Linked DNA regions of Elephas maximus indicus. The protein of the gene in region 1 purifies or fractionates together with the protein of each later gene. This does not show direct contact. Links are inferred from orthologs where the notes say so. Each region holds a gene or a part of one and is shown in the gene's direction. Other genes may lie near its edges.

Region 1 (7,863 bases):
CTGCTGATTCCTAGTTTAGATTTTGATCAAAGAATGTTATATGAACAATTTCTGCTATATTGGAGTTTATTGACATTTTCTTTGTGCCTTAATTTATGGCCTCTAATAGGAGCCCTGGTTAAGAGCTCAGCTGCTAACCAAAAGGTCAGCAGTTCAAATCCACCAGACCCTCATTCAGTGACACTGGTCATATTCTTCACAATGCATGAACATTCTCATTATTTCTATCCTGGTTGTCCCGTTTCCATTAATATAGTTTCCCTGTGCCCTTACTTTCTCATCTTTGTTTTAAAGTAATTGCTGGCCGTTTGGTCTCGTACAGGTGATTTTTTAAAGGAGCACAGTACTTACAAATGATATTCATTATCCTGTGAGCCCATCTGTTATTTAGCTACCAGATGACCTCAGGGATTAGTTTATTTTAGGGTTTAAAGAGTATCTAAGGGCAATACTCTTGGGGAGTCCTCAGTCTCTACCAGTCCAGGAGGTCTGTCTTTATTTTTGTTTTTAGGAATTTGAGGTTCTGTTCCACATTTTTCTCCCATTCTACCAGGGCCCATCTATTGTGGCGCTGATTAGAATAGTCAGTAGTAGTAGCCGAGCAAGGTATGTGGGGGCCCTAAACACCGATAATCTGTGGTGCTCCCTCCTCTGCTTACTCAAGCATTAAAATAGGATCTATGAGTTAGTTAGATACATACATACATATATATGCATATATATGTGTGTGTGTTTGTGTGTCTTAGCTATCCATGGTCTAACTTTTTAAATGTGGCTGTAATATTAGTAATTGAATGCAAAAGTGGTACATGTCATTTTAGTGGAATAAGATGAACTGGATTATAAAATTTTTAGTGGATGCAGGGTACAAAGATTTTTACTATATACCACATTTTCTAAAAAAAAAAAAATTACACATATTCTACAAGAAAATGAGTTAGTGAACTCAGTTGTTTCAACAATCAATGTGAAATTCTGTTGATGTCCCACAACAATGAATTCAGGGAACTTTTAGAACATTATAGGATTAAAAAACAGCAAACAAACAGAGAAACTGAAGTAGAGGAATAATAACCACACAGGAAAAAAAATATAGAAATTGTCTGGGATGCTGAAATATATGCACTGGGGCCTATGCAATGAGTTTGGGGTAAAAAACCCGTTCCCGTCGAGTCCGACTCAGAGCGACCCTATAGGACAGTGTAGAACTGTCCCGTAGAGTTTCCAAGGAGCACCTGGTGGATCTGAACTGCCAACCTTTTGGTTAGCAGCCTTAGCTCTTAACCACTATGCCATCAGGGTTTCCAAGTTTGGGGTAAAAAAAAAAAAAAAACTGCCCTCGAGCCGATTCCGACTCATACGGACCCTAAAGGACAGAGTAGAACTACCTCATAGAGTTTCCAAGGAGCGCCTGGTGGATTCCAACTGCCGACTTTTTGGTTAGCAGCTGTAGCTCTTAACCACTGTACCACCAGGGTTTCGAGTTTGAGGTGGAGGCGATTAATTTTACCTGCGCGCCCTCTAGTGGGCATAGGGGGAAATAACAATTTGTCCGACCGATATTTATCAGGCACCCCGTGCGGAGGCGGGTGGGAAGGATGTGCTGTTCTGAGATTTTACTGATGGTCACCCAGTGCCAGCGTCAGGTTCTGGATCATCTCACAGCACCACAAGAACTCCCAAGCTTATTGGGACTGGACGAAACCTTAAGAATCAGGGGAGGGGAGAAGCATGGACCTTGGAATTATCAGCCCTGGTTTGACTCCCAGCTCTGCCCATTGCTGCCGTGTGAAGTTTGGACAGCCCCTTAAATTCTCAGGACCTCCGTAAAATGGGGGTTATCATAGTGCCCACCTCATGAGGCAGTGAGGGCACACGGTGGAGTTTGGCCGATAGTGGGTACAGAGTTCTCAGGAGGAGAAACTGAGGCCCAAAGGGGTGGATGGACAGCCCTGTGCAGTGTCAGCCAGCTTATGAGGGCAGGGTGGAGAATGAGTAGGGCTTGGAGAAATGTTTAAAAATGCCTTCCTCCAAATAGATAAACAAAATGTGGTACATACCTACAATGGAATGACTCAGCCATAGAGAGAAATAAGGCCCTGATACATTCTACAACATGGATGAGTCTTGAAAACATCGTGCTGAGTGAAATAAGTCAGCCACAAAAGAACAAATATTGTATGATTCCACTTATGGAAATATCTAGAATCGGCAAATGTATTAAAAAAAAAAAAACTAGAATCGGCAAATGTATAGCTACCAAAATCTATTTATGGTTACCAGGGGTAGATGGGAGGGAGGGGGAAAGGGAAACTCATTTGCTTAGAGGACACAGGGCTTCTGTTAAGGGTGATACAAAATTCTGGAAACGGATTGTGGTGATGGTCGTACAACTTGATAAACACAATTGATGTCCACTGAATCGTACATGTGAAGAATGATGAAATGGCAAATGTTTTGTTACATATATATTCACACAATTAAAAAAAAAAAAAAAAGGCCCTGTCCTCCATCCAGAAGGCAATGCTATTGTTAGTAATGGTGTTTTTGTGGGGAGAAATTAGCTCACTCCTCCGGATGGGCTTTGTGACCACTGGCTCTACTCTACCCATGCTGGAGCCACTGCCTGAGATGAAGAGGCAGGGCAGCCCAAGTGTGCCCCAGGTGTGGCTCTTTTGGCTGCAGCTATCAAGAGTTTCACCGTTGAGTGTGTGACTCAGTGTTGCCACCTGGGTTTGGGGGGTGAGGGCAGGGAGGGAGTCCCTTCATCTGGATTTCCATTCCCCACATCTGCAAGCTGTAATTATCCAGCCTTTGGCACTGAGCTGTGCACCCTCTTTTTTTACCAGGCTGAGCAGAAACCCTGGTGGCGTAGTGGTTAAGTGTGACAGCTGCTAACCAAAGGGTCAGCAGTTCAAATCCGCCAGGCTTTCCTTGGAAACTCTATGGGGCAGTTCTACTCTGTCCTGTAGGGTCGCTATGAGTTGGAATCGACTCAACGGCACTGGGTTTGCTTTTGGGGTTTACCAGGCTGAGTTGGGGCAACGGAGGCCCAGGCCCATGGGGAAATGGGGGAGAAATTGCTCTGCCCAGAGCCAAGGGCCCCTTGGCCTAAGTTTTCTCATCTTTCTCTGGGGTCAGTCATGGAACTTCAAATTGTTGGGAAAATTCAGTGAGTTAGTATGTGGAAGAGCCTAGCACATTGCCTGCTTGGCGGTAACTGTCGAAAGTAGTCGTATCCACATCGTTCATGGTTCAGCCTGGATATCACCTCCTCCAGGAAGCCTTCCCTGAATTTCTCAAGCTGAGTTTGGTGTCCAAGTTTCCTGTGTATCCTAGTCCTTTCGCTGATCACTCAATGTTATAGTGGCCCCTTTATTTGTCTTTATCCCGCACTCAACAGTGAGCCCCAAGGAGGCATTGTGCTACATCTTGCTCCCTGTTGTATCCCAGTCTGGATGGCTCAGGTAGGAGTGACAAATATAATTTAGGCGAATGAGACTTATGAGGAGAATATGTTTCCTGGAGCTGTAACAGACATATCATAAGTGGGTGGCTTTAACAAACAAATTTATTTTCTCACAGTTTAGGAGGCTAGAAGTTCAAATTCAGGGCACTGGCTCTAAGGGAAGGCCTTCTCTGTTGGCTCTGGGGGAAGGTCCTTGTCTCTTTTCAGCTTCTCTTCCTCAGTACCTTGACAATCTTCATGTGGTGTGGCATCTATCTTCCCCCATCTCTGCATGCTTCTCTGTGCCTAATCTGTTTGTTTAATATCTCAGAGGTGATTCGCTTAAGACACCCTACACTGATATGGTCTCATTAACATAATAAAGAAAACTCTATTCCCAAATGGGATTATATCCACGAGTATACCCAAAACCAAACCCATTGCCGTGGAGTCGATTCTGACTCATTGCGACCCTATAGGACAGAGTAGAACTTCTCCATAGGGTTTCCAGGGAGCACCTGGTGGATCTGAACTGCCAACCTTTTGGTTATTAGCCGGTGCTTTTAACCATTACATCACCAAGGTTTCCATATCCACAAGTATAAGGGTTAGGATTTATAACACGTATTTTGGGGGGACACAATTCAATCCGTAACATCATTTTACACCTTTAGTCAGCCTCAAATTCATTCTTTTAACTTTTAATTTTGAAATGATTATAAACTTAAACTGCAAAAATAGTAGAGTCCCCTATACCCTACACCTTGCTTCCCCCAATGGTTACATCTTATATACCCCTCAAAGTCAAACCCAGGAAATGGAAACTGGGTACAATACTGTTAACTAGACTACAGACCTCATTCAATTTTCAAATCCTTTTTTGAAGCAGACAGGAAACAAGTAGAATATTTTTATATTACATGCCATGCCTCGTGAGGTCCTGGTAGACCCAACGAAAGGGGAAATGGGACTTTATGAAGTTCTCCTTGGATGAGAGTGTCTTGGAGGGTCTGATCTTTCCCCTAGAACGAGGATTCCCTAAGGACTGCCATGAAAGGCAGAGAATGCTGGACTAGATTTACAGTTCTAGTTTTGATTCTTCAATGCAAAAGCTGAGTGACCTCTCTGGACCTCAGTTTTCCCGTCTGGAACCAGAAGAAGGAGAGAGACCTCAAAGTCTCTAGGATCTTTCCCGTCTCCGTCACACCAGCACCACTTCGCAGTCAGCTGGCTCACTTCTCCAGCGCTGTACGGGAGCCGGCAGCTGAGCAAGGCCCTAGCGGCGGTCGGCTCCACCCCCTCCTTTGCCCCGCCCCTCGGGCACCACCCCTGGCCCGGGGAGCACTCTTGGCCCCGCCCCCAGGCCGTGCGTCCACCGGAAGTGTGAGCGCGCGGGCAGCTCACTTCCGCCCGGCAGGTGACAGCCGCGGGGCTGAGAGCGGCCCGCGGTGCGGACACGCCGGGAGAGCGGGAGGAGGAGGAGGCCGCGGACATTTTGCTGCCGTGCCGATCCGAACCGAGCCGAGCCGTGGCGCCGGGAGCCGCTCGGTCTTGCGGGTGAGGAAGCGGAGTGCCGGATGCGGCAGGAGAAGAAGTGGGACGGGGAGCCGGGGGTCTGAGCTGAGGGGTTGGCGGGGTCAGAGGTCACTGAGAGGACAGGGCGACAGTGGGTACGCGAGCGGCCTCCCTGGCTCGGAGGAGGCGGAGGGACTGCAGGCTCATTCATTCGCGCCCCCTTGGCCTCCGACCCGCATCCCAGCTGCCCCAGGCCTGCAGCCCCGCCGCCCGGGAGACGCCCCCAGACTCAGGCCCGAGAAGCCCACGCCTGGCTGAAAGGTAAACTCGTCTTTGGGCTTTGGTTTTCCCGTTCACACTGACCCTCAAGGCCAGCCTGAGGCCTCTTCGTTAAGGGCCTTTTTCTCCATGTCAAGGTTGGAAAAGAAACGACCCTCTGCCGCCGGCACCCGGGGAGTATCTGAGCTCGGTCTGTCCCTTGGCGCCTCCGTGACAAGTTGACTGAAGACACGTATAACAATGCTAAAATGATCATTATTGGTTATCGACCCCTACTGTGTGCCAGGATCTGTGCTAAAATACCACGTTTAAACCTCCATTCAACACTCGTGAGATAGCTACTGTTGCTATTCCCTGTTTACGGATGAGGAAACTGAGGTACAGAGAGGTTAAATCACCCAGGTAGACGGATCAGATAGTGTAGACAGAGCCAAAATTCCTATGCAGGCTTTCAGGGGCCTGCGAAGTGCAGAGGCAGGCTGGAGCAGGGCTGGGGCGTAGGGGCTGCTTAATACTCAGCTGCCACTATATCTGTTTGAATCTATGTTACAACGGTAACAACGTGTAAAGATGTAGCTTTATTGCTTCTCATCTGATCTTCATTTATGCCCCTGCCTTTGATTCATTTTTCTTTAGAATGAAACAGTCCCGCAGACTGTCGCTATACACCTTTCAGGGCAAGAGTGGCAGTCTTTCCTGACTTTTAGGCACTGTGAGACATAAAACACCTTATCTGGGAAACTAATTTCAGAATATCAGGAACCTCTCTTGCAGGTGGTTGAGCTGCATTCCTTTTGGAATAAAGAGAGGAACCACATGACCCCTACAGGATCTTTTGGCCCTAGATTCTAGAAGGATGTATTCAAGGGGAAGGTCTGTGCCTCTTTGAAAAATGTGGAAGCCCCATTCTTCTTGCCTGGGAGATGGTGAGGTGGTTTGGTGGCCGGAGAACTAGGCTCTGTGAGTCTGAGCCTTTATTCCTTTGCAACATCCACCCCCTCTCATTCTGCCTCAGTTTCCCTGACAGCAGCATGAGAAAGACCTGCTGCCTCCTTACCCCTTCGTGGGTGTTACAAGCCTTAGTGAATCTGCTAAGGTTTCCACATGCTTCTGAAGAAAGCTGTGAGGTAAATATTACTGTAGTGCCTTTTTTGTTTGTTTTTTTTAGCCTCCATGATCTGTTCTCCTAATTACCGAATCCACAGAAACTTAATATTGTCATCTTATCCCATTCTTCCAAGGGAGGATTTGAATGAAGTGACTTGTCACAGTTGGTAGGAACATGAGCAGAGCACCAAGCATCTGGTTCCCTGCCCTGAGTTGAGCCGTTTAGAAACTGTCATGAAGAGCAGCTTGACAAGTTATCAAAGAATCAGATCCCTCATAGTTTGTGAGACTTGAGCAAGCCTGAGTGGTTTGAAGGGGCTCAAAGGTACAAGAGAAAGAGCACACCCCGACTTTCCAGTAGTCAGCCCTGGATTCTGACCTCAGTTCGGCAGCTTAATGGTAGCGTGATCTGGACAACTTACTTAGGCTGGGCCTCTTTTACCTCAACTCAAAAATAATACTGAGTCCCCACCCGGCCCCCCGACACAGGTGGTTGTGGGGGTTAAGTGAGGACATTTGTGCAATGCGCCTAGTATAGAGCAAAATGTTATTATCGTGGTGGGTGTCTTGACTTCAGGCCTGTTGATCCTCAGGGGGCTTTTGCCCAAGGAAGGCTGCCAGCTGTGGTTTATGGGGCGTTACTTCCTTCTGCAAACAGAGACCTTTATGTTCAGAGGACTTCTCGGACCCTTCTTGTTTCACTTCCTCAAAGTACTTCAGGACAGGCTCAGTCCGTCAGTCCTGCTGGCTCTGGGCTTGGACTTTAATCTTTTTGTAGTCATCATCTTGTACATCTTGACTGCTCACTTCCCATTCAAAACCCACATCTGGCACAAAAGCCTTGATATGCTACCAGTGAGCAAGCACAACTTGGGTATGGGTTTTGCACTGTAATATATTTCTTAAATCTGAGGGGGCATCTGTTCTTTGAAGATGTTTCCTTTTCCAAACAGGTCTTTTGCCTAAGAAAGGTGGTTGATAAATGCTCACAGCCCAGAAATGATCTTTCTGTTTTCTCTGTCTTCACACAGAGAGCAACAAATACTCCTGAGAGAAAATATCACTCAAGCAGTTGGAGAATCCTTAAAAAAAAAATCCTGCTTGAAAATCCATCAGTGGCTCCTCATTGCCCTCAGGCTAAAACTCAGGCTCCTTAGCATGGCATTCAGGCCTTTCGGGAACTGACCCTTCTTGGCTCTCCTATCCCACATTTCCACATCCTCCCAAGTCAAACTCAGCTGCTTGCTTCTTCTCCAAGTCCCAGCTTTACGCCTCTCTGTCTTTGTGCTGTTCCCTCTGCCTGAACACTCTTTCCTGCCCACCTCCCGCCCTTCTTTACTGGACCACTGTTGGAGCTTCCCATCTGATTATCACCCCACCTTGCAGGCCTGAGCTAGATGGCCCTCCTTAATGTCCTGTGGCTCTGATCATAGCGGATATGATTGTTTACTTGGCTATCTTCCGAGTAAACAGCTCTAATTCCTTAATCCTTGATGAAGACCTGTCTGTGTCTC
Region 2 (7,011 bases), on another chromosome or scaffold:
AGATGTATATGACTCCACCCACAAGAAGCTTACAATCTAGTCAAAGAGACAAGGCATACTCACATATGCAATCAATGGACATCATGGCATGATAATGAAGTTAACCAGTCAGGGTTCTCAGTTACAAGCAACAGAACCAGCTCTGGAAAACTAGCGAAAAAGGAAATGATTTCCTTTTTTTTCCAGCGAAAAAAGAAATCGGGTAGCTCATGGAAATGCCAGGAGGGCCAGAGTACTAGGTTGGAGGTCTCACACAAGGAACAGTGCCCCGAATCATACCTTCGTCTTCATCCCTACACCTCACTAGACACAGGACACGGCTACTGGCGCCACTCCACTGCGGTCCTAGGGACTCGATGCTCCGACCCTCTGTCACTCTCCTGTCAATTGCCCCATCCCCACCTCATTCTCTCCTGGGCCAAAGTCTGGGAGATGGACAGATGGGCAGAGCCCAGCAGACACGCCCATGCTGTGGCTGCAAAGGAGGCTGTGAAAGTGAGTATCTGAAATTTTCAGATGCTACAGTGGGAGGTTGTTCTATCTCCCTCTGGACTCATAAAGTGGGGATTTCCAAACTCTAGAAACAGGGTTTTTAGAATCTAAAAAAGGTTTAGAATCTAGGAGATGAAAAAGAATGACAAACATCTACCACAGAAAGTATTCAAATGCTCAGGACTGAAAGGAACAGTATATAGGAAGGTATGAGTTCAAACAAACAAACAAAGATCACTGCAAATGAGTTCATCAGGGAACTATGAAAGAATGGACCAAACATAGGTGCAGAGAACATCACAGGAGAGAGAAACACAGATCATAGACTCATAAAGATGGAAGGGCTTCAGAGGCCATCTGGGCCACCTTCCAGCCACCACAGGAACCACCTTATAACCAGATGAGGGAAGGCATGTGGAAGTGTCAGCACGGTCATGGGGAGACAATACAAATTCCATCCCCACCTATAAAGGACAATCTCACCTCTCCCATATTTTTCCGTTCATAAAAATGGCACCACTAATCCTCCAGGCTCGTCTTTGATTCTTCTCCCTTCTTCTCTATTTAGATGAGTTATCAACTTCTGTTGACTGGCCCACTGCAAGTGTCTCTCTAATTTATCCTTCCATTTCCTCTCACGCCTGGATTACCAAAACTGCTCCTATACGGTCTTCCAGCCTTCCATTTGTCCTTTCAAATTGTCCCACATATTACTGTAAGACTGATTTTCCTAAAAGTGTCTTTGCCAAGTTATTCCCCAGCTCAGGTGACTGTAATGACTCCCAACTGCTTACTGCGTCAAGTTTGAACTCATCTGCAGACAAAAGCTATTGGATGAACAAAAGGTATTGAATCTACTAACTTACAGATCCCCTACAATCATCGTGTACTAACAATGAACAAACCTAGTCGTCATCTTCTAACTAGTTTCACCCGCTTGGATTCTATGATTCTACGTGAGCAAAGCCCTTGTTTCTAACAATTTCCCATGAGTCTTTTCTGCAGCTAGGCATACCACATTAAAATGAGGAACTCTAGAAAGCGTTAGCTTTCTAAGGAATGTAGGAGTTTACATCTCTAGAGCTTCCAAATTTGCACAAGCTGTTGCCTAGCTCTCCACTTTGTCTTTACCTCATTTCTCCTTACTTCCTTGTTTGCAACCTCCTCCCCTCTCCCATGAGCACATTTCTTTTTATTTGTTTTGCCTTCTGTCCTGCTTACACATAACGATCTACCCTTTCTAACTCTTACAACTTGTTTTATTAATGTTACTTTTGACCTAATAAATAACACCAAGATACTTCAGCCAACATCTATGCCATTGGCAAGCCTAACGCATCAGCAGAGGAGAAAGGGAAATGAAAAAGAAAGGAAGAAGAAAACACAAAAGAAAGAGGAGTGTCTTACTTATCTATTCCTGCTATAACAGAAATACCGAAAGTGGGTGACTTTAACAAACAGAAATTTATTTTCTCACAATTTAGGAGGCTAGAAGTCCAAATTCAGGGCAGCAGCTCTACAGGAAGGCTTTCTCTCTCTGTTGGTTCTGGGGGAAGGTCCTTGTTCTTTGGTTCCTTGGAGATCTCCCTGTGGTGTGGTATCTATCTTCCCCCAGCTCTGCTTGCTTGCTTGTTTAATTTCTTTTATATCTCAAAAGAGATTGATTTAAGACACACCCTACACTAACACTGTCTCATTAACATAACAAAGAAAACCCATTCCCAAATGGGATTATAACCGCAGGTATAGGGGTTAGAATCACAACACATATTTTGGGGGGACACAATTCAATCCATAACAAGGTGGGAATGGGAAATAATGATAATAGCTACCATTATCAAGTTTACAATATGCTAGATAAAAAAAAACTTTCTATATATTATCTCTAATCATAAGAGCAACCTTGTAAGATAGGCATTGCTACCCTCATTCTTAAAATGAGAGATGGAGGGATACAGATTAAATGGCTCACCTGAGGCTATACATCTAATAAGGGTGAGAGACAAGATTCCATCCCAGATGAATTAGCCCCACCCCATTGTCGCTAGAGCAGAACCGCCATAACAAAGAACCAGAAAAAAAAAATTAAAAAATTAAGTGGAGACATGTAAGGCTTTACCCACAATTACTTCAACTGCTACTAAAACATAATAGTATCATCTGTTGCCAAGAATTATCTAGAAATACCCATTAATTTTTCAGCATGACAAAATTTAAAATGTTCTCCTAGGCTTAAGATAGATAGCTGCTGTTGAGTTGACCCAAACTCATGGCAACCTCACGTACAACTGAACAAAATGCTGCCTGGTCCTTCATCATCCTCATAATTGCCATCATGTTCAAGCCCATCATTGTGGCCATTTCGCCAATCCATCTCACCCACTGTCTCCCTCACCCTTGCTGGCCCGCCACCTCACACACCATGATGTCCTCCTGAAGCAATTGGCCCCTCCCAATAATGTGTCCAAAGCAAGCGAGTCAGATAATGATCTGTTGTGCTCCACAAGGTTTTCATTGGCTAATTTTCAGAAGTAGATTGCCAGGTCTTTCTTCCTAGTGTGTCTCAGTCTGGAAGTTCTGTTGAAACCTCCACCAGGGGCAAGCCTGGTGGTATGTGAAACACCAGTGGCACAGCTTCCAACATCACAGCAATGCACAAGCCACTGCAATTCCAACAAACTGACAGAAAGCAGTGATGCTATCCTTACAGAGCCACCCCTTTTCACCACCACATAAACACACACACACAGACATGCACAGGTGTGCACACTCACATATACACACACATCCTCAGTTAAAAAGCTCATCTTACAATCTGCACCCTACTCATCTTTACACATATGTCTGGTTACGTCTGTCCCTTTTTAGTTTTGATACATGCTAATCTTTTTAAAAAAAAATTTTTTTTATTAAGGTTCCCTTTATTCTCCCCCTTGAGCCTTAATTTCCCTTCATGTTTCTCTCTCTTCCTTATATCTCTTTTAATATGAGCCTCACCTTTTCTCTTTTATCATTCCCCTCATTTCCTCACACTTCTCTTACTTGAAGAGAATGTTGCACCTAGCAGGTTCTCAGTGGATACTAATTTTGAGCTTTATCTTTGTCTTCCTGCCTCCCTGATCATTCCTCTCCCCCTACATCTAGTTCCCACCCTGCTCAGTCTCAATTGCCCACGTTCCTTCCATTAGTTCTCCTTGCTTCCTCACAAATGCCAATGGTCGTCCCATACATTTCTCACGCCTTTTCCCGCCTTTTTCCCCCAAGGTTCTATAGCGCGAGGACTCATTGTCTTCCTCCCACATCCTCTAACCAACCTACAAGACAGCCTTGTTACCATGACGACAGAGCTACTCAAAGCTGAAGTCAAGGACCTGGTTGCCATGGCTCCCGCTTGTCCGCCTCCAGCCCCTCCCGCGCGCCCCGTAGCGTTGGCGCCTGCGCAGTAGGCAACGCGCCGGGCCTCCGAACTTGGGCGGGACAAGGCGGGGCTTCAGCCGAGAGGGAGGGAAGAAGAAGAAAGGATAAGACGGGAATAGAGCTGGCGCCTACGGTGGCCGAAGAGGGACGCGCCGAGCCGGAGGCTGCAGGATGGTAGGCTGTGCGAAAAGGGAGGGGAGGGGGGAACTGAGGGGCGTGGGCTGCACCTGAGGGGGTCCTTGGGGGCCGCCCTCTGTGCGAGTCGTTCTTTCTTCACTGTCGTCCTCAGAGACCCTCCTGTATCTGGGCGGGTGGGCGAGGCGGCCTCCGAAGGAATTCCTGGGAATGGCATTCGAGAGGAGTGGGGAGGAGGCGCATTTGCTGGGCGAGAGGGGGCTGATGTGGGGACGGCGGCACCGGCGAGACCGGACTGAGCCAGGAGTGGCCGGGTCTCGGTCCGAGGGGTGCCGACCCCTGCCGCCGGGAAGTCGCCCGATGTACAGGGGCGCGGGGGTCTGCTCGTGGAGGGAGGGAGGAAGGGACTGGGGGCCGCCGGTCGTCAAGACCCTCTGTTCTCGAGCAGCCCAGAGAGGAGCGGCGGCCGGTGGGGGAGAGCGGGTGTGGGAGGGAGAGTTTCCGGGTCCGAGGAGGGGACGTCCTGCCTCGCTGTATCGCCATGCTCGCCTGGGGGCAGCGGTGAGGCGGGGAAGCGAAGGGGGCTGGAGCTTTGGCTCTCAGGGACCCAGGCTCTGAGCTCCTGGGCGCCGCTGCTTTTCGCTCTCCGCCCCCCTTCCCATTCTTTTTCCGGAACCCAGGCCTTCCGTCTTCCTGCTCGCCCCACCGCCCCCATCATAGACGCGCCCCGCTCCCTGGCGCCCCTCTCTTCTCCTCCTGCCACAGTAACAGTACTTCCTCTTCCCTACCCCCGAAAAGCCTAGTTCTCGCCTGGCCTTGAATTCAGATTTCTAGCCCACTGTGCCATACGCTAAGGAGCCCTGGTCGCTCAGTGGTTAAGTGTTCCGCTGCTAACCGAAAGGTCGGCGGTTCGAACCCACCAGCTGCTCCGTGGGAGAAAAATGTGGCAGTCTGCTTCGGTGAAGATTTACAGCCTTGGAAACCCTACGGGGCAGTTCTACTCTGTCCTATCAGGGTCGCTCTGAGTCGGAATCAACTCAACGGCAGTGGGTTTCGTTTGGTTTGGTGCCATACACCCAGGGATTCCAGACCTGGTATTGTCCACAGAGAGGAGAGCTGCTGGGAGGAGGAGATGAATCTGGAGCTAGGAAGCTGGAGGTGCACTGGTAGTGAGGGCTCTGCTCTCCTCTGCAGTCCACCCAGCTTGCTCTGTGCGCCACAAACATTCCCAGGTAGCTGTGTCCTCACTCAGGGACCCAAAGAGAGGTTAGTCATCCGGGGTCTGAGAAGTGGGCGCTTAGCAGAAGACAGCCCTAAAAGGCAGAGATGCTAAGAAATCAGAGGCCAAATATCTGGATGACTGCAGAGAGAAGAGGGTGGAATTTGGGATCCCAATACTATGTGCCAGGAGAAGGATAGGACTGGCACCAGAGGGCAGGGTGTTTGGGACATCAGAGAGGACTCATGGTTAGGATGGGGTGGAGAGTAGAGGTAGCTTGTTGAGGGGCAAAATATCCAATTTCATGGTGGTGATGGACAGAAAGAACTTGGAAGAGACCAACCATCTCTTTAGCATCTCTTTAGGGGCTTCTTGTCATGATGCTGGGCATTTTACTTATCTTTAGGAAACAGGAGGTCAGGAGATAATAATTATAGTACTTAACACATTACAATGCTTACCATGTGCCATGCACTGTCGCTAATACCAACTCATTTAATCCTTCCTAAAAATTTTGTAAGGTGGGCACTTTATGATCTCCATCTTACAGATAAGGAAATAGAGGCCCAGAGTCATAAAGGAATTTACCCAACACCATACCCAACTCGTAGGGTCTGGACTTGAGCCCAAATGACAGGCTGAGAAGCTCTGACTTCCCCCAGAAGGACAGGTACCACGTGGTGTGAATACCCAGCATTGACAGCAAAGGGCTGGAATTTTTAAGAAAGCAGGAGCTGGAGTGGAGAAGAGTTAGACGGGATGAGTTTGGGACTGTGTGTTTGTGGAGGGAAGAAGCTCAGAGGAGCAAACCTCTGACCCTCAGCTCTGCTCCCCCTACCCCCCCCCCCCAGATGCGATTTATGCTGCTGTTCAGCCGGCAGGGGAAGCTGCGGCTGCAAAAATGGTACCTGGCCACATCCGACAAGGAGCGAAAGAAGATGGTTCGGGAGCTTATGCAGGTTGTGCTGGCTCGAAAGCCCAAGATGTGCAGCTTCCTGGAGTGGAGGGACCTCAAAGTCGTCTATAAGAGGTGACACATCACCTACTGTCAAAACTGCCTGGATCCTGTTCGATTAGAGTTTGGCAATGGGTTAAAGAGAGGGGATACTGGTAAACAAAGGGCCCCTTATGTCAGGGAGAACTGGGAGCTAAGAACATATCTGGACGTCACTGATTAACCCCAGCTTTCCTTCCTGCCAAACTCCTCTTGAAGAAACTCTTGTTCTCCACTTGATTTTGGTCAAGCACATACCTCTGTCCCTAGAGGCTCCATTTGGTCCACTGTGTGTATCCCTTGTAGTCTCAACAGTCATAGATCCTGCCCCACTTTCCCAACACACGCAGACACATGTACCTTATCCAGTTCCTTCTTTAAGCAGGTGAATTAGTTGGCTAATTTTTTGCTGAGTCAAACAACAGGTCAGAGGGCAAGAAAGAAAAAGTGTGTGTCTTTGCGTATGTGTGTGAGAGAGCACCAGGAGGCAGAGTGAGTTACCCTGTCTGTGTCTAGTGGAGGCACAGACTGGGCTGGGAATGAGGAGAAACAGGGGGTTTAAGCTCAGAGTGCCTGGGTCCTGAACCCAAAAAAGGGTCCTGAAGCAGCCTTCAATTCAGCAGCTATGGCTCATGTACCCCTCTCTCCAGATATGCCAGCCTCTACTTCTGCTGCGCCATCGAGGGCCAGGACAACGAGCTCATCACGCTGGAGCTGATCCACCGATACGTGGAACTCCTGGACAAATACTTTG
Region 3 (7,739 bases), on another chromosome or scaffold:
TGGAAAACAAGTTGTGGTACAGCCATAGAGCGAAATATTTCTCAGCCCATAAAAATGAAGTCCTGATGCCTACTGCAAGGTGGATAAATCTTAAAAGCATTATGCTAAGTGAACAAAGCCAGACATAAAAGGTTACATATTGTATGATTTAAGTTTTACGTACAATTCAGAATAGGTAAATCCTTGAAGGCAGAAATCATATTAGTGGTTGTGAAATCCCACTGTGCCAGTGGCAGAAGCAGCTCTGAGGGGCACAGGTTGGCTTCCAAAAAAAGAGGTGGAAAATGCCAGGTTGTTCAGATCTAGCTGTATTAGAGAACTTACAGGGTTTGACGCCAGGATTCTCTCCACAGTTAGCGAAGCGTGGAGTGTCACCTGGGTAGAGAACCACGCTCAGCAGTGCAGGCTGGGAGTTTATATACTTAGCGCTTACATGCAAAGATGTGTGCAAGGGACCCAGGGGAAAAAAACTTCTCTACCGTATGATGAATGAGGTTGTTTTTGTACTAATTAACGGCTTCCAATTGACATGACCATGAAGTCAGTCATTTGCCGTATTTTTTCCTGGCCTGGATCACTGCTCAGTAAGGTACTCTGGTTCTCTCCCAGCGTTCTTTGCAGGCAGAATCCACCTTGTATTCTTCAGGGCCCTCTCTGTGGTGGCTGGGAGATAGGGGGAGAAGGAGCAGGGAACAAATGCTTAATGGGTAGGGGTTTTCCTTTGGGGTGATGAAAATATTTTAGAATTAGATAGAGATGGTGGTTGTACAACGGTGTGAATGTACTAAGTGCCACTGTCACTGGAATTGGTTAATTTTATGCTATGTGAATTTCACCTCAGTAAGAGTTAACTTTATATAAGTATGGTATCACACAGCTGTGATGGGGGGAGCAGCGGGCACTGGGAAAGCACAGAGGAAGAACGTGATGGAGACACGGAGTGTAAGACAGAGAGGGCTTCCCAAAGGAGAAGGCCTGAGAGCTGAATGAGAATAGAACCAAGTGGTAAGAGCAAAGAGGGGCAGGCGTTCTGCAGAGAGGGCTCAGGTGCCGGAGGAAAGAGAAAGGCAAAGAGGGGAACTGAAATTATGGAAGTCAGTTGTCTGGGGCAGCGGTTCAGGGTGCCCTGCGGCAGAGGTCAACTGGGGGCAATGTCTGAGGGCAATGGGGAGCCACGGGGGATGTGAGAGTGGGTGAGACCATAGTAGTTGTATTTCAGAGGTTCCTTTAGTGACATAAAAAAGGGATTGAAAGGGGTTCCTAGTGGCAGGGTAGCTGAAAGAAGCCTGGTGCAGGCTGCAAGTGTCTAGAAGCTGGGATGGGCGTGGTTGCCACCAAATAGGCCAGGCTGGGCAGGGCCAGCCAGACAGAGCTGCTCTGTTCTCTGACCCCACTGCAGCTTTTGGGTTCATGAATTTTTCAGCCAAACAGGCATTGAGTTTCAGATTCCAGTGCACTAGGCCCTGGCTTTTGAGTTCTATTTACTACCTGAAAACATCTCACTAAGGGCCCTAGGAGGGGAATCCTTGTGAGGCTCCGGGGTGCCTGAGTTGGAGTGAGAGCCTGTATCGCCCCAGACCACCTCCTGAGCAGGGAGTGGGTAAGAGCATGGAAGGCCCTCCCTCCTTTGGGCAGAGGCAGTATGAATTCCTGGGCTTTGCAGGGCTCGAATCCCAGTTTGGTCACTACTAGCTGGGTGATCTTGTGCAAGTCACTCACCTTCTCTGAGCCTCAGTTTCTCCATCTGTCATATGAACATAATAAACCAAAAAAAACCCACTGCTGTTGAGTCAATTCCAACTCATAGCAATCCTATAGGACAGAGTAGAACTGCCCCATAATGCTCCCAAGGAGTGGCTGGTAGATTTGAACTGCCAACCTTTTGGTTAGCAGCTGAGCTCTTAACCACTGTGCCACCAGGGCTCTGTGGAGATAATAGTGTTCCCTAAATTAAAGAGTTGTCTCAAGGATTCCCACACACCAGATATTTAGGGTAGTGCATATGCCTGCATATGTTGTTAGGTGCTGTCAAGTCGGTTCTGACTCATAGTGATCCAATGTACAATAGAATGAAACACTGCCAGGTCTTGCACCATCCTCACTATCATTGTTAAGTTTGAACCCATTGTTGCAACTATTGTGTCAATCCATCTTGTTGAAGGTCTTCCTCTTCTTCGCTGACCCTCTACTTTACCATACATGATGTCCTTCTCCAGGGACTGATCCCTCCTGATAATTTGTCTAAAGTATGTGAGACAAAGTTTCGCTATAATGAGCACTATATATTGGATACACTGTGGACTGCCAGAAGAATGAACAAATCAGTCTTAGAAGAAATACTACCAGAATGATCCTTAGAAGCAAGGACAGAGAGACTTTGGCTAGCTTACTTTGGACACAATTGTTAGAAAAGGAAATCATGGTTGGTAGAGAAACCAAACCTGTTGCCATTGAGGGTCAGCAAAATGAAGGAAATCCTCAGTGAGATGGACTGACAACAGCAGCAGGGACGGGCTCAAACACAATGATCATGAAGATGGCACAGGACTGGGCAACATTTCATTCTGTTATACACCAGATCACCAAGGGGCTCTCAAACCTGATGACTCAGGCAATGTGTGGTGGAGTCAGGATTCAAACCCCGCACTTGTTCTCTTAACCACCACAATCCTCATTGTTGTCATAATTATCATCATTATAGCTGTCATGATCAAGCATGTTCCATGCACCATGTTGCATATAATAACTCATGCTGTTGTGTGCATGATAACCCAACAAGAAAAGTGCAGTTATGAATCCTTTTCACAGATGTGAAGACTGAGACCTTGGGAGGGAGGCCAGGTACCAGAGGCCACACAGCTGGCCAGTTGCAGAGCCAGAACCTGAGCTCGGGCAGCTGGATCTGGAGTCCATGAGCTTCTCTGGTACACGTGTAACAATAAACAACAGCAAAACCAATACTAGTAACTGCTGTGTGCCCAACTCTGCACTGGGCTCAATCGCTTGGATCATCCCTGCTCATAAAGTTGTGGTGGAAATTCAGGGACACAGTGAAGGGCTGGCAATAATGTTGTCTTACAGTGTTACTATTTACAGGGCCTCGAAGACCTCTGTCAAATGTCAGCTCTGATCTTCCTGACTTATAGCCCCTATTCACTCTCTGTCAGCCCTGCCCCCTAGTACCCTTGTCTTCAAAGGTCTCATCCTCATCAGGAATCATCTTTTTTTTTTTTTTTTTTAATTGTGTGTCTCTCACCCTCCCTAGAACCGGGGTACCAGCCTTGTCTACATCACAATCCACAAGAGCACAGCGGGTGCTCAATAAATATTCATTAGCTGATTGGATCACCATCAACATGACCATCATCACCATAACGAAACCCCTTCCAGATGCCCAGTTTAGCACACAGTAGGTGGTCAGTAAGGATATGCTGGAATAATATTATGACATAATAATTACAGTCATAATAAAACAGGTTGCTGTCCTGTTGATTCTGACTCGTGGTGACTCCATCTGTTACAGAACTGCTCCAGAGGGTACTTTTGGCTGTAATCTCTTTTGAAGCAGGTTGACAGGGCTTTTTTCCATGGCTCCACTGAGTGGGTTCAAATCACCAACCTCTAGGTTAGCAGCCGAGTGCAAACCCTTTGTGCTACCCTGGGAGTTGTAGCCATAATAATAACTATCATTTATCCTTTCCATATTCTATCTACATCTTAGTGTCACATTTTTCTTGTGTGCCATTGAGTCGATTCTGACTTATAGCAATTCCATGTGACAGAGTAGAACTGCCACATGGAGTTTTCTAATCTTTATGGGAGCAGGTCACCAGGTCTTTTCTCCTTCGAAGCCGCTGGTGGGTTCTGACATTTCAGTTAGCAGCCTAGCTTAACCATTGCACCACCAGGGCTCTTTTAGTGTCACAAACCCATTAACCCATTGCCACTGAGTCAATCCCAACTTTCCAACTCATAGTGACACTGTAGGACAGAGTAGAACTGCCCCATAGGGGTTTAGGGTTTCCAAGGCTGTAATCTTTACAGAAGCAGACTGCCACATATTTTTCTCGTGGAGTGGCTGGTTTGTTTGAAGCATCTTTGGGTTAAAAGCCAAGTGCTTTAACCACGGCCTTACCAGGGCTTAATAAATAATTTTGAACAAATGGACAAGAGTTACGTTAGGAAAACACTAAAAGCAGCTACATTTGTCTTGCTCAGAATCCTTCCCAAGGTTCCAGTCACTGAGTGAAAGAATTTATTAGTGAGTAAATATTTGAGTGACAGAATAAACTAATTAGTAAATATTTATTGTATGAATGAATGAATTCAACAAATATTCAACACCTACAAAAATTTTTTTTTTTTTTTTTATACTGTGTACCTTTTTACCAGGTCTTTTACTGGGCGCAGAAGACACAGGCAGGAACAGGACAAAGCCCCGGCCCTATTGGGGCTTGTGTACTTATGGTAGAGACAGAGGAGAATGAATGAATGAATGGAGGGACCGACTGACAGACAGGCGGTCGGTTGGTCCGCTGTCTTTGCCCACCAGCACTCACAGGTGCAAAGAGAAAGTGAGCCGGGGCCTCTGTCTCAACCGAAGGACCGCCCCCTTCCAGCCCTCTCAATAGCTGTCGCGTCTGCCGACCGCGCCGCTCACCTGGCGGCGGCCTCCCCTTTAAGAGGGCTCACCTGGGCGCTCACCTGGGCGTGGGCGCTTCCGCAGGAAGAAGGAAGCGGTGCTGTCTTTACCTTCTGGCTCTCCCTCTTCGCCTCTCAGATCCACCGGCTGCCACTATGTCCGCCTCGGCCGTCTTCATCCTCGACGTCAAGGGCAAGGTGAGGCTAAGCGCAGGTGTAGGGGGCCAGACCGGTGAGGCTAAGCTCCCCCCAACCTAGGGGCGGCACATCCGCGCAAGCTAGCAAGACTCCAGAAAGCTCTTGGGGCGTGGAAACCTACGCCCCCCTCCACTCTAATTCCCGTGTGTCCGGGTTGAATTCTACCTCCACCATTTACTGGCCGTGTGCCTGGGACAACGGGCTTTGCCCCTCGGGTTCTTAATTTCTCCTGCCTTAAAAATGGGGGTAACTAAGGTCCCCACCCAGTCAGAACTCATAAAATTCAAAGTGTGTAAAGCGCTTAGCACATTAGCCCCGATGCAAACATTAGGCGTTCAATAAATTGAAGTTTATATTTCCATCACTGTCATCTTCCACAAAATTAATACCCGGGGAAGGCTGCAGAAGGCCCTAATTCCCCTTTAGAGCTGCTTTGTCCTTTCCTGAAGCTCCCTTATCCACCTTGTCATTCAGCAATAGCAGCAGTAACAATGGTGGTGTGAAAATAATACTGATAATATTAATAGTGAAAGCTATTTAGAGACTTGCTGTGTGCCCTCTCTGTTCTAACCACTTGACTCAACAGCCTAAGTACTATTATTATTGCTGGCTTACTGCTGGCAGGGCAGACAGACATGAACTCTAAGAGGTGCATGGATAGAATCTTCCCTCCCCTCCCCTCCCCTCCTCTCCCCTCCCTTTCCCCTTCCCCTCTCCGTTTTTCATAAGCCCTACCTTACCACTCTGGTGCATATGAAGCCCGGGGTGAGAGCAAGAATTCTGGAGCCAGGCCGCCTTGTTTCGATTCCCAGTTTCCCTGCTTACTATGGACATGGTTCCATAGACTCTTTCATAGCCTCAGCTTCCGCATCTATAAAATGGAGATGATGGCAACACCTCCATCACAGGGTTTGTGGTGAGAACTAAATAACGTGGTAGTTGTTGTGAGGTGCTGTCGAGATGGTTCTGACTCACAGTGACCCCATGTACAACAGAATGAAACACTGCCCAGACCTGCACCATCCTCACAGTTGTTGCTATGTTTGAGCCTATTGTTTGCAGCCACTATGTCAATTCATCTCATGGGGGGTCTTCCTCTGTTTTGCTGACCCTCTACTTTACCAAGCATGATGTCCTTCTCCAGGGACTGGTCCCTCCTGATAACATGTTCAAAGTATGTGAAGGAGCACTCTGGCTGTACTTCTTCCAAGACAGATATTTGTTCGTTCTTCTGGCTTGTTGTTAGGTGCTGTCCAGTCGGTTCCGTTTCATTCTATTGTGCATAGCAACCCTATGCACAATAGAATGAAACACTGCCCTGTCCTGAGCCATCCTTACAATCGTTGTTATGCCTGAGCTCATTGTTGCAGCCACTGTGTCAATCCACCTCATAGAGGGTCTTCCTCTGTTCCTCTGACCCTGTACTCTGCCAAGCATGATGTCCTTCTCCAGGGACTGATCCCTCCTGACAACATGTCCAAAGTATAGAAGATGCAGTCTCGCCATTCTTGCTTCTAAGGGGCATTCTGGTTGCATTTCTTCCAAGACAGATTTGTTCATTCTTTTGGCAGTCCATGGTATATTCAATATTCTTCACCAGCACCACAATTCAAAGGCGTCAATTCTTCTTCAGTCTTCCTTATTCATTGTCCAGCTTTCACATGCATATGATATGATTGAAAATACTATGGCTTGGGTCAGGTGCACCTTAGTCTTCAAGGTGACATCTTTGTTCTTCAACACTTTAAAAAGGTCTTTGCAGCAGGTTTACCCAATGCAACATGTCGTTTGATTTCTTGACTGCTGCTTGCATGGCTGTTGCTTGTGGATCCAAGTAAAAGGAAATCCTTGACAACTTCAATCTTTACTCCGTTTATCATGATGTTGCTCATTGGTCCAGTTGTGAGGATTTTTGTTTTCTTTATGTTGAGGTGTAATCCATACTGAAGGCTGTAGTCTCTGATCTTCATTAGTAAGTGCTTCAAGTCCTCTTCACTTTCAGCAAGCAAGGTTGTGTCATCTGCATATTGCAGGTTATTAATGAGTCTTACTCCAATCCTGATGCCCCGTTCTTCTTCATATAGTCCAGCTTCTTGGATTATTTGCCGAGCATACAGATTGGATAGGTATGGTGAAAGGATACAACCCTGACACACACCTTTCCTGACTTTAAACCACTCAGTATCCCCCTGTTCTGTCTGAACAACTGCCTCTTGATCTATGTACAGGTTCCTCATGAGCACAATTAAGTGATCTGGAATTCCCATTCTTGGCAAGATTATCCATAATTCGTTATGATCCACACAGTCGAATGCCTTTGCGTAGTCGATAAAACACAGGTAAACATCCTTCTGGTATTCTCTGATTTCAGCCAGGATCCATCTGACCCCACTTGTCTGTCAGTTTGTTGTACTGTGGGGGTTTGCACATTGCTGTGATGCTGGGAGCTATGCCACTGGTATTCAGATACCAGCAGGGTCACCCATGAAGGACAGGTTTTAGCTGAGCTTCCAGGCTAAGACTAGGAAGAAGGACCTGGCAGTCTACTTCTGAAAAGCATTAGCCAGTGAAAACCTTATAAATAGCTGCGGAAGATTGTCTGATAGATAGTTCTTCTGACAGCCCATGGTATATTCAATATTCTTCACCAACACCATAATTCAAAGACATCAATTCTTCAGTCTTCCTTATTTATTGTCCAGCTTTCTCACGCATACGAAGTGATTGAAAATATCATGGCTTGGGTCAGGCACACCGTAGTCCTCAAAGTGACATTTTTGCTTTACACTTTAAAAAGGTCTCTTGCAGCAGATTTGCCCAATTCAATACATCATTTGATTTCTTTTTCTTTTTTTAATAAACTTTAGTATTTAACCCAGTTTTAAGTTTACAGAAAAATT
Region 4 (8,002 bases), on another chromosome or scaffold:
ATGCTCGCAGTGGTGAGAAAGCAGGCACCTTAGCAGGGAGAGAGGATATGATCACAGCAGAAAGGAAGGACCCCTTTCCCCAGTTCCAGAACTCAGAAAAGGAAGAGATGGGGTGGGGGGGGACAGTGGCAGTGATGGAGTGGGGAGAATGAAGGGATAACAGAAGAGACTGCAGAAAGCAAGATGTAAAATTCTCCTGTCAAGAAATCTGCCCTTGAAGAGGTAGGATTAAATAATAAGGTGGGATGGCAGGGGTAATCATGAGAGCAAAGGCTTCTACCACAGGGGAGAGGGGGACCAGAACAAGGGGGCAGGGGAGGGGCACGGCTGCTAGGAGGGCAGGACCACAAGGGGCAGGAAAATGCCCTGGAGCCCTCAGAGAAGTGCGCGGTCCAAAGCGGGGGCAGCAAGAATTATCGATGACAACAGGAGGTACCCACAGCAGAGAGGGCGGCAGACTTAGCTTGGAAGCACCAAGTGAGGGCAGCTGCAGAAGGATGTGCTAAGAGAGTGTGGTCTCAGTTGTCACTGAGAAGGGAACAGGACAGGAGTGAGACAGCGGAGCCGAGGGCAGCCATTCTGGGGCGGGGGGGGGGGGGCGGGCCTGGCCCCTGCAGCTGGAAGGAGGGAGGTGTTACTACAGGACTTAACAGCAGAGGGGTGTGAGAGAAGCGGGAGGGCATGATGGCATTAAGCTCAGCCCAGGTCTGGGACAGGAAACCGAAGGGGAGCTGCCCTCACCTGCTGGGGAAGGAAGCAGTTGGCCAAGTGTGAGGAAGGGTGAAGACTCCAGAGGGGACCTCAGGTCGGGAGGAGGCAGTGTTGTGGAACACAGGGCCGGGGCTGGAGTACCTGAGCAGGGGCTCAGTTGAAGTAAAAAAAATTTCTAAATCCCCATCCCTGGGACCCACAGGGCAGCAGATGCCCTCCTCAAGGCAGTGGCTGCCAGCAGTGTTGCCGAGAAGGCCGTGGAGGCAGCTCGAATGGCCAAACTGATAGCCCAGGACCTGCAACCCATGTTAGAAGCCCCAGGTGAGGTGTGGACAGCCTGGGGCTGGGGGGTGAGCCCCCTGGGCGCTGGACAGGCTCAGGTTTGGGGGAGGGGGTTGGGAATCCCTGCAGGAGACTGGGGATGGGAATAACCAAGGTATGAGGGTCCGAGGGGACGGAGAGTGGTGCCAGGCCCAGTTGTTGGGAAGTGGGACTGAGAATTTGTAAAGAAAGGTAATAAGAATGGGGGAGGGGAGCTGGGGGCCAGCAGTGAGAGGTTATAGGCCTGGGGATACCAAAGTCCAGGCCAGTTAGGCCTCTCTGATTCTTAACTGTCCCTGCCCCAGGCCGCAGACCCAGGCAGGATTCAGAAGGTTCCGACACAGAGCCCTTGGATGAGGACAGCCCCGGGGTATATGAGAATGGACTGACCCCCTCAGAGGGCTCCCCTGAACTGCCCAGCAGTCCGGCCTCCTCTCACCAACCCTGGCGACCCCCTGCCTGCCGGAGCCCACTGCCTCCTGGAGGAGACCGGGGTCCCTTCTCCAGCCCCAAATCTTGGCCTGAGGAGTGGGGGGGCCCAGGTGAGCAGGTGGAGGAACTAGCTGGTTATGAGGCTGAGGATGAGGCCGGGATGCAGGGGCCAGGGCCCAGAGACGGTTCTCCACTCCTCGGAGGCTGCAGTGACAGTTCAGGAAGTCTTCGAGAGGAGGAGGGAGAAGATGAAGAGCCTTTGCCCCAGCTGAGGGCACCAGGAGGCTCGCAGCCTGGGCTCACAGTCACTCCAGTCCTGAGGGGCACGTCCTCCAGGGGTCCTGATGCTGGGTGCCTGACGGAAGAGCTCGAGGAGCCTGGTGCCACCGAGAGGCCTGCCCAGCCGGTGAGACATCCCCCATCCCCACTTGTACCCTCTGAGTCTCAGCTCCTTCCCAGCCCCTCTTTCCCTCAGAGCCTTCCCTCCCGCCCTTTCCAAACCTGTCTGATCCCCCAGCAGGCTCTGATTTGGACTCAGCTTCCTCTCTCCCTGCCCAGTCTTGGACCATATACCCAGCTCAAAAAAAAAAAAAAAAAGAACTTTAAAGCTGGAAAGAACCTTAGAGACCTTCAAGTCCAACTCTCTCAAGTGACAGAGGGGGGAACTGAGGCCCAGAGCACTGAAACTAACTTGTCCAAGGTTACAAACTAATAATTACTGGTAGTGCCAGAACATCTCTCCTTGTTCTCCTTCCATACCATTCCCAGCTCCCAATTTCCTACTCCACCCCCACCCCCGCACTTTCTCTCTTTGGTGCCCAGAAATAAAAAAGGAAAAGATTGTTCCCTCCCTACCCTGACTCTTCCCCCTCTCCTGGAAAGAAGGGAAATAGGAAAGAAGGCAGAAAACTGGGAGAGGCGGAGTTTCCCCAGAACCCTCTACTCTGATTGGACTCCAGGTCTTCTCCTGTTTCCTAGCAACCACATCCTCACCCCTTCATCCCTCTCTGCCTTACTGCAGTAACAGCTGCTGCTGCCAAAGTCTGCTACTAGGGCCAGGCACAGCCTGTCTGGGCCACGTGACATGCTAGTGGGTGGAGAGGAGGAGGAAGGAGAGAAGAAGGATGGGCTGTCCCTACCTTGTGGGTGCCTGAGGGAAGGTGGGCCCTGACCTGGAGAAGAGGGATGTTTTGCAATCCGAAACAAAGGTCGGAGGCCCCTCCCTGTTTCTGGCCTCTTCAGGGAGGGGAAGGGAGAAGGGATCATGGTGCCTGGGACTCTTCAGCTTTGCCACCTCAGCCAGGGCCCTTGGGCTGAACAGCTCTGTCCCCAGGAGGGAGGCACCAAGAGCCTGACCTGGTCCTCAGAGACTGAGCCTACCTTTCTCTGTCTCTCTAGGGAGCTGCCAGCCTCCTGGTGGTGGGAGCCGTGGCCCTCCTGGACCTCAGCCTGGCGTTCCTGTTCTCCCAGCTCCTCACCTGAGGCTACTTCCTGGCCTACTTCTGGCTTTGGTGGCTGCCTCTTCACCCTTGGACCTGCCTTTTTCTCTTTTCCTCCTCCTGGTTGTTGTTTCTATCTTTTTCTCTTCTCCCTTTCCTTTTCTATTCCCCTTTGTTTTTGTCTCTTGCTTTTTCTTTATCCCTCTCGCCTTTCAGATTATCTTATTTATTCTGGGTCTGTCTCTGTCTTCCTCACTCCCTTCCCCATCCCCACCCCTTCTCTTTCTCTAGATTGTTTACATATGAAGGGCTTTTCTCTCTCAGAGTTGCTTTCTTCTCTGAGACACACAAATCAAGTCAGACCATTGCCCCATGCCCTCCTCACCTTTTCTTTAGACCTAAACTTCACTGAGGGTGGGGTTTTGGTGTCCTGAGGAGTCTCCTGGAAGCTGAATGGAAAGGAGGAAAAAAGTGGAGAAGGGGTGACTGAATGCTGCGAAGGCACTGGCTGAGCTGCTATCACTCCCTGACCCAAGGGGCCAGGTGTCCCTCTGAGGCCTAATGAAAACTGGAAGTTAGCCTTCACCTCTGATCTCGGAGGATCTTAGCTTCAAGCACTGAGCTTGGCTCTTGCCTAACTCAGTCCTTCCCTGAGGGAGATATGGGAATTGAAAAGTAGAATGACTCTCTAACATCTCCCTTTCTTTCCTCAAAAGCCCACCCCTCCTCAACCCCCTCTGGTGACATGGCAAGAGCAAGTGTAAAAGGAACAAAAAAAATCCAGTGCAACCAAGTCCCCTCCCCCCCAACTTCGCCACTGACCTCTCCCACCCTTCTGTTTCCCCCTAAAAGTTTGGATGGTCTGGACTCACTTGTGGCCTTTGATTAAATTCCTAAGGGACCTAAAGAAGGTGTTTCTACTGCAAAGGGTTAGAGGCACTTGAGCAAGGGCCTCACTCCCCAACTCTGTCAGTTGTGGTGAGGGGAGGCACTTCTGGGAGATGGAACCAGACAGGAACTCACAGAGCAGCGTAAGCTGCAACACTTTTAGTCACTGTCAAAATGGGTGATGTCCCTTCCCCCTTCACATGGGAATATGGTGAAATGGGAAGACAACAGAAGGAGGGGATCAAAAGAAGCTGACCCCTCACGCACCTTCCAGGCAGGGCAGAGGTAGGAGACAAACGTGGGGTGAGAGGTGGGTGGAGAGCCCTGTTTGAGGTTGTGCCTGATCCCTGGTACTAGCTTTCCCCCCTGGGGGTTAGGAAGCCCTCGGAAAAGGGGACTGTAGGACCCCTCCCCTGCATGAGGCAGAGGCAAGCTGCCTGCCAATCCCCTCCCTCAAGGAATGGCCTTGCCTGGGAATGCCCACCACATACACCCTCTTTTTTTCTAGTCAAACTGTTTATTCCTTGGCCTGCCTCCCTCCTTCCTACCTTCTCAACCTTTACTTCTGATTTCTATTTCATGGAATTTGGGATTGAAGTTAAACTACAACAGTGCCGCAAACATCAAGTCTTGCAGAAAAAAAAAAAATTAACAAAAAAAATATATTAATAAAAAAGTTCAAAAAAGGGGGGGGATTGTCATCTCCTTTGGGGTGCGATGGCTTCAACCCCAAGCTGAAGCTCTCCGGGTGGTGATGATGTACGAGGTGCCCCCTAGGGGAACCCCAGCCTCTCCATTGCGAATAAAACCTACTTCCCCTAAACAGCGAAGCCAGAAGTTTAAGCAGGGCGGGCCAGGAGGGGCGAGGTCGCGTGATGGGGGTGCGGAGGGGGACGGGCCAGATGAAGCACCGCCTCTCGATCGGCCCTGCACCAGGAAGTCCTGGGGGGGAGAGGAGTGGAGTTGAGACGGGAGCCAGGTGAGGCTGGTGTAAAGGGCTGGCTCCTGGGGTGGGGAAACTGAGGCTGCCTGAGATGGCAATCGGAGAAGGAATCCCACGGAAGAAAATGCGCGGGGCCGGGAAAGAAAAGGACAGGCTGAGCTAGGGATGGGAAACCAGGTGTGTGGGGGGGAGAAATGGGCGGGGCTCTAGCGCATGCTCAGTAGGGGCAGGCGGACGGGGGCCGAACGCATGTGTAGTGAGGTGTTCCCTGGGGCGATGAGGGCGGAATTTGGAGACCCGTGTGGGGAAAGGTAAATGTGTGCTCTGTTGTAGGGTAGCAGTGGGACACGGACCCTCAGATTCTTGGCACAGAGCAAGCCTGGGCAGAAAGGGCAGGCACATTCGGCTAGGGAGTGTTAAAGCCCTCTCTATTCCCGAGCTCTGCCCCCCAGGATGGTGGTGCCTTCGCTGAAGCTTCAGGATCTAATCGAGGAGATTCGTGGGGCCAAGACGCAGGCCCAGGAGCGGGAGGTGATCCAGAAGGAGTGCGCCCACATCCGCGCCTCCTTTCGGGATGGGGACCCCCTGCACAGGCACCGCCAGCTGGCCAAACTGCTCTACGTCCACATGTTGGGCTACCCTGCCCACTTTGGACAGGTATGGAGCAAGGACGCCTCCTTCTTGAATTTGTGGGGCGCAGGTCTCGGAATCCCTCACTGACCTCAAGTTTGTCATTCTGCAGTCTCTGAGCTCTCACAGCATGCACCGCTAACCTTCCCCATCCTAGCCCCCATTGGCGGTGAGCTGGCCTGAATCCTTCATTCTCTGGCCAGTCTCGTTCAGGGCACCTTCTCTCCCATCCCAAGGACTCCTAGTTCCTTGAAACTACCTACAAATGCCTGAATCTCCTAAGCCTCTCCCTCTTGTTGAAAGGAGGGTGATGGGTTATTGTGCCCCACAAGTCAATCTGGTGTTAAGATGGAAGATGGAACAGGGATGTTAGTGCCTCTGGTTTCACCCCTTCTCTATAGATGGAGTGCCTGAAACTGATCGCCTCCCCCAGATTCTCAGACAAGAGAATGGGCTACCTGGGGGCCATGCTTCTACTGGATGAGAGGCAGGATGCCCACCTGCTCATTACCAACAGCATCAAGAAGTGAGAGGGCTGGGGGTGATTCTAGGAAGCACTTGGAATCAGGGAGATGGGAGAGTGGGGAACTGGGAAATGCCAAGGGGCTGCCTGGTATAGGTACTGGGAAGGATTGGTTTTTTCAGAGGCTTCACTGACCCTCCTCCCAACCCTGCAGTGACCTGAGCCAGGGGAGTCAGCCAGTACAAGGTCTGGCCCTGTGCACTCTGAGCACCGTGGGCTCCGCTGAGATGTGCCGGGACCTAGCCACAGAGGTTGAGAAACTGCTCCTGCAGCCCAGCCCCTACATGCGCAAGAAGGTGAGGCAGCAGACTCTAGGCACTTGCCTCTCAAGAAACCATCCCTGGTTTGCCACGTGGTAGAGGTGTGCCATAGTACTTGATGGACCCCTGCCCTGTCTGAGCTCCCTGACCTCTGCAGGCTGTTCTGACTGCGGTGCACATGATTCGGAAGGTCCCTGAGCTGTCCAACATCTTCCTCCCACCCTGTGCCCAACTACTTCAAGAGCGCCACCATGGTAAGGCCACGGGGCTCCCCATCCCCTGCCTCTGCTCTTGCTGTGAACCGAAGAAGTGAAGGTTGTGACGGGAATACCAGCTCATAGGAGAAGGGCAGCACACACACCTATACACATGCCGTAGACTTTCCTTTGCCCCTGCCCTACCCTTTGCTTCCCCCACCCTGACCCCAGGCATCCTGCTGGGCACCATCACGCTGATCACAGAGCTCTGCGAAGGAAGCCCTGCAGCCCTCAGGCACTTTCGAAAGGTGGGCTGCTGAAGAGCAGGCACTGGGCCAGAAAAAGAGGGACAGTGGGGAGGGATGGTGCTGGAGGTTGAGAGGGTAAGAAGAATGCCTAGACACGGCTATGCCCTCCCTCCAGGTGGTACCCCAGCTGGTAGAGATCCTTCAGACTCTGGTGACATCGGGATACTCTGCAGAACACAGCATATCTGGAGTCAGTGACCCCTTCCTGCAGGTAGGCTGACCTTTATGAGCTGTATCCCTCGAACAAAGGGAGCTTAGAAATAAGACCACAGCCAGCGCCTACCTCCCAGAAAACACTTAGGCTCAGTCACTGTTTTGGGCAGGAAGGTGGCAGGCATAGGATTGCCTTGGTCATCCCAGCACCAGTGGGGGGAGGGGGGGAGGTGAGGTGCGGGGAGTACCATGTCAGAAGATCCAGTTTGACAGCCATAAAAAAATCCTATCCCAAACTCCCCAGGTGTCGCAGACTTCTGGTACCTTTCCAGGACCCCCAGGGACCTGTGGAGCTGAAAGGGAGGGGCAAGGAGGCTCTAGGGAGCCAACCAGACCCCTCACGATGCTCTCCTCAACGTTGGATTTTTCTCCTCAGCCCCATGACTCCTTACCCTATGAGCTCCTCCATCTTTCAACCTTTAACCCAACCTCAGGTCCAGATACTTCGTCTGCTTCGGATTCTGGGCCGGAACCACGAAGACAGTAGTGAGACCATGAATGACTTGTTGGCCCAGGTCCGGGACTGGGGAAGGGGCAGTGGTTAGGTGTGTTGCTCTGTGATCCCACCAGCCGTGGGCATCCCTCACATGACTACCCTCCATGAGTGCCTATATCATCACCTCTCTGTTACCCTCAAGACTGTGAACTCCATGAGGGACACAGTCTGTCTCAGTGCTGTAGCCCAGTGTCCAGTCTGGCCCTGGTACATAGCAGGGGGCTAAGGGAACTTTGTTGGATGGTTGAGGGGTGGACGGACAACACAGAAGAGACCTGAGGAGAGGACAGAGCCCTTTGCAGTTGTATCTCCTCTCTTAATCCACTCAGGTGGCCACTAACACAGAAACCAGCCGAAATGCGGGTAACGCGGTCCTGTTGGAGACAGTGCTCACCATCATGGACATACGCTCTGCAGCTGGTCTACGGGTATATGCCTCTCCCACTGTAGCCCTGCCCACCACCCCAGCCAGGGTTTCAGGTCCTGTTCACTGGATTCTGCCCTCTAACCCAGTAACCAACAGTGCCATCGAGTCTACCCATCATCATATGCCATGTGGCCCCTACTCCTGAATGAGCAGGTATGCGTTTCCTGACTGTCCCCAACTTCTGCTTCCCATAGGTTCTAGCCGTCAATATTCT

The links.
Region 2: the proteins of AP1B1 (region 1) and AP1S1 fractionate together in Homo sapiens (co-fractionation; 6 studies listed by BioGRID and IntAct, with this or other methods). This does not show direct contact. The link is inferred for Elephas maximus indicus from reciprocal best matches to the Homo sapiens genes AP1B1 and AP1S1.
Region 3: the proteins of AP1B1 (region 1) and AP1M2 purify together in Homo sapiens (affinity purification with mass spectrometry; 3 studies listed by BioGRID and IntAct, counting the BioPlex papers as one, with this or other methods). This does not show direct contact. The link is inferred for Elephas maximus indicus from reciprocal best matches to the Homo sapiens genes AP1B1 and AP1M2.
Region 4: the proteins of AP1B1 (region 1) and AP1G2 fractionate together in Homo sapiens (co-fractionation; 3 studies listed by BioGRID and IntAct, with this or other methods). This does not show direct contact. The link is inferred for Elephas maximus indicus from reciprocal best matches to the Homo sapiens genes AP1B1 and AP1G2.

The regions. Positions count from the first base shown.
Region 1 is NC_064840.1:27,187,216-27,195,078, forward strand, and holds the start of AP1B1 (AP-1 complex subunit beta-1), read left to right. Parts: upstream 1-4,853; 5' UTR 4,854-5,005; intron 5,006-5,207; exon of another isoform or gene 5,208-5,284; intron 5,285-7,863. UniProt on the Homo sapiens protein: Subunit of clathrin-associated adaptor protein complex 1 that plays a role in protein sorting in the late-Golgi/trans-Golgi network (TGN) and/or endosomes.
Region 2 is NC_064830.1:92,571,005-92,578,015, forward strand, and holds the start of AP1S1 (AP-1 complex subunit sigma-1A), read left to right. Parts: upstream 1-3,995; 5' UTR 3,996-4,080; coding exon 4,081-4,083; intron 4,084-6,114; coding exon 6,115-6,293; intron 6,294-6,907; coding exon 6,908-7,011. UniProt on the Homo sapiens protein: Subunit of clathrin-associated adaptor protein complex 1 that plays a role in protein sorting in the late-Golgi/trans-Golgi network (TGN) and/or endosomes.
Region 3 is NC_064821.1:28,633,420-28,641,158, reverse strand, and holds the start of AP1M2 (AP-1 complex subunit mu-2), read left to right. Parts: upstream 1-4,729; 5' UTR 4,730-4,797; coding exon 4,798-4,839; intron 4,840-7,739. UniProt on the Homo sapiens protein: Subunit of clathrin-associated adaptor protein complex 1 that plays a role in protein sorting in the trans-Golgi network (TGN) and endosomes.
Region 4 is NC_064828.1:34,906,637-34,914,638, reverse strand, and holds the start of AP1G2 (AP-1 complex subunit gamma-like 2), read left to right. Parts: upstream 1-4,992; 5' UTR 4,993-5,010; coding exon 5,011-5,045; intron 5,046-5,186; coding exon 5,187-5,391; intron 5,392-5,765; coding exon 5,766-5,890; intron 5,891-6,041; coding exon 6,042-6,183; intron 6,184-6,304; coding exon 6,305-6,401; intron 6,402-6,575; coding exon 6,576-6,652; intron 6,653-6,767; coding exon 6,768-6,863; intron 6,864-7,299; coding exon 7,300-7,380; intron 7,381-7,690; coding exon 7,691-7,789; intron 7,790-7,982; coding exon 7,983-8,002. Other genes in the region: JPH4 (junctophilin-4), read left to right, coding at 914-1,032, 1,338-1,870, 2,863-2,946.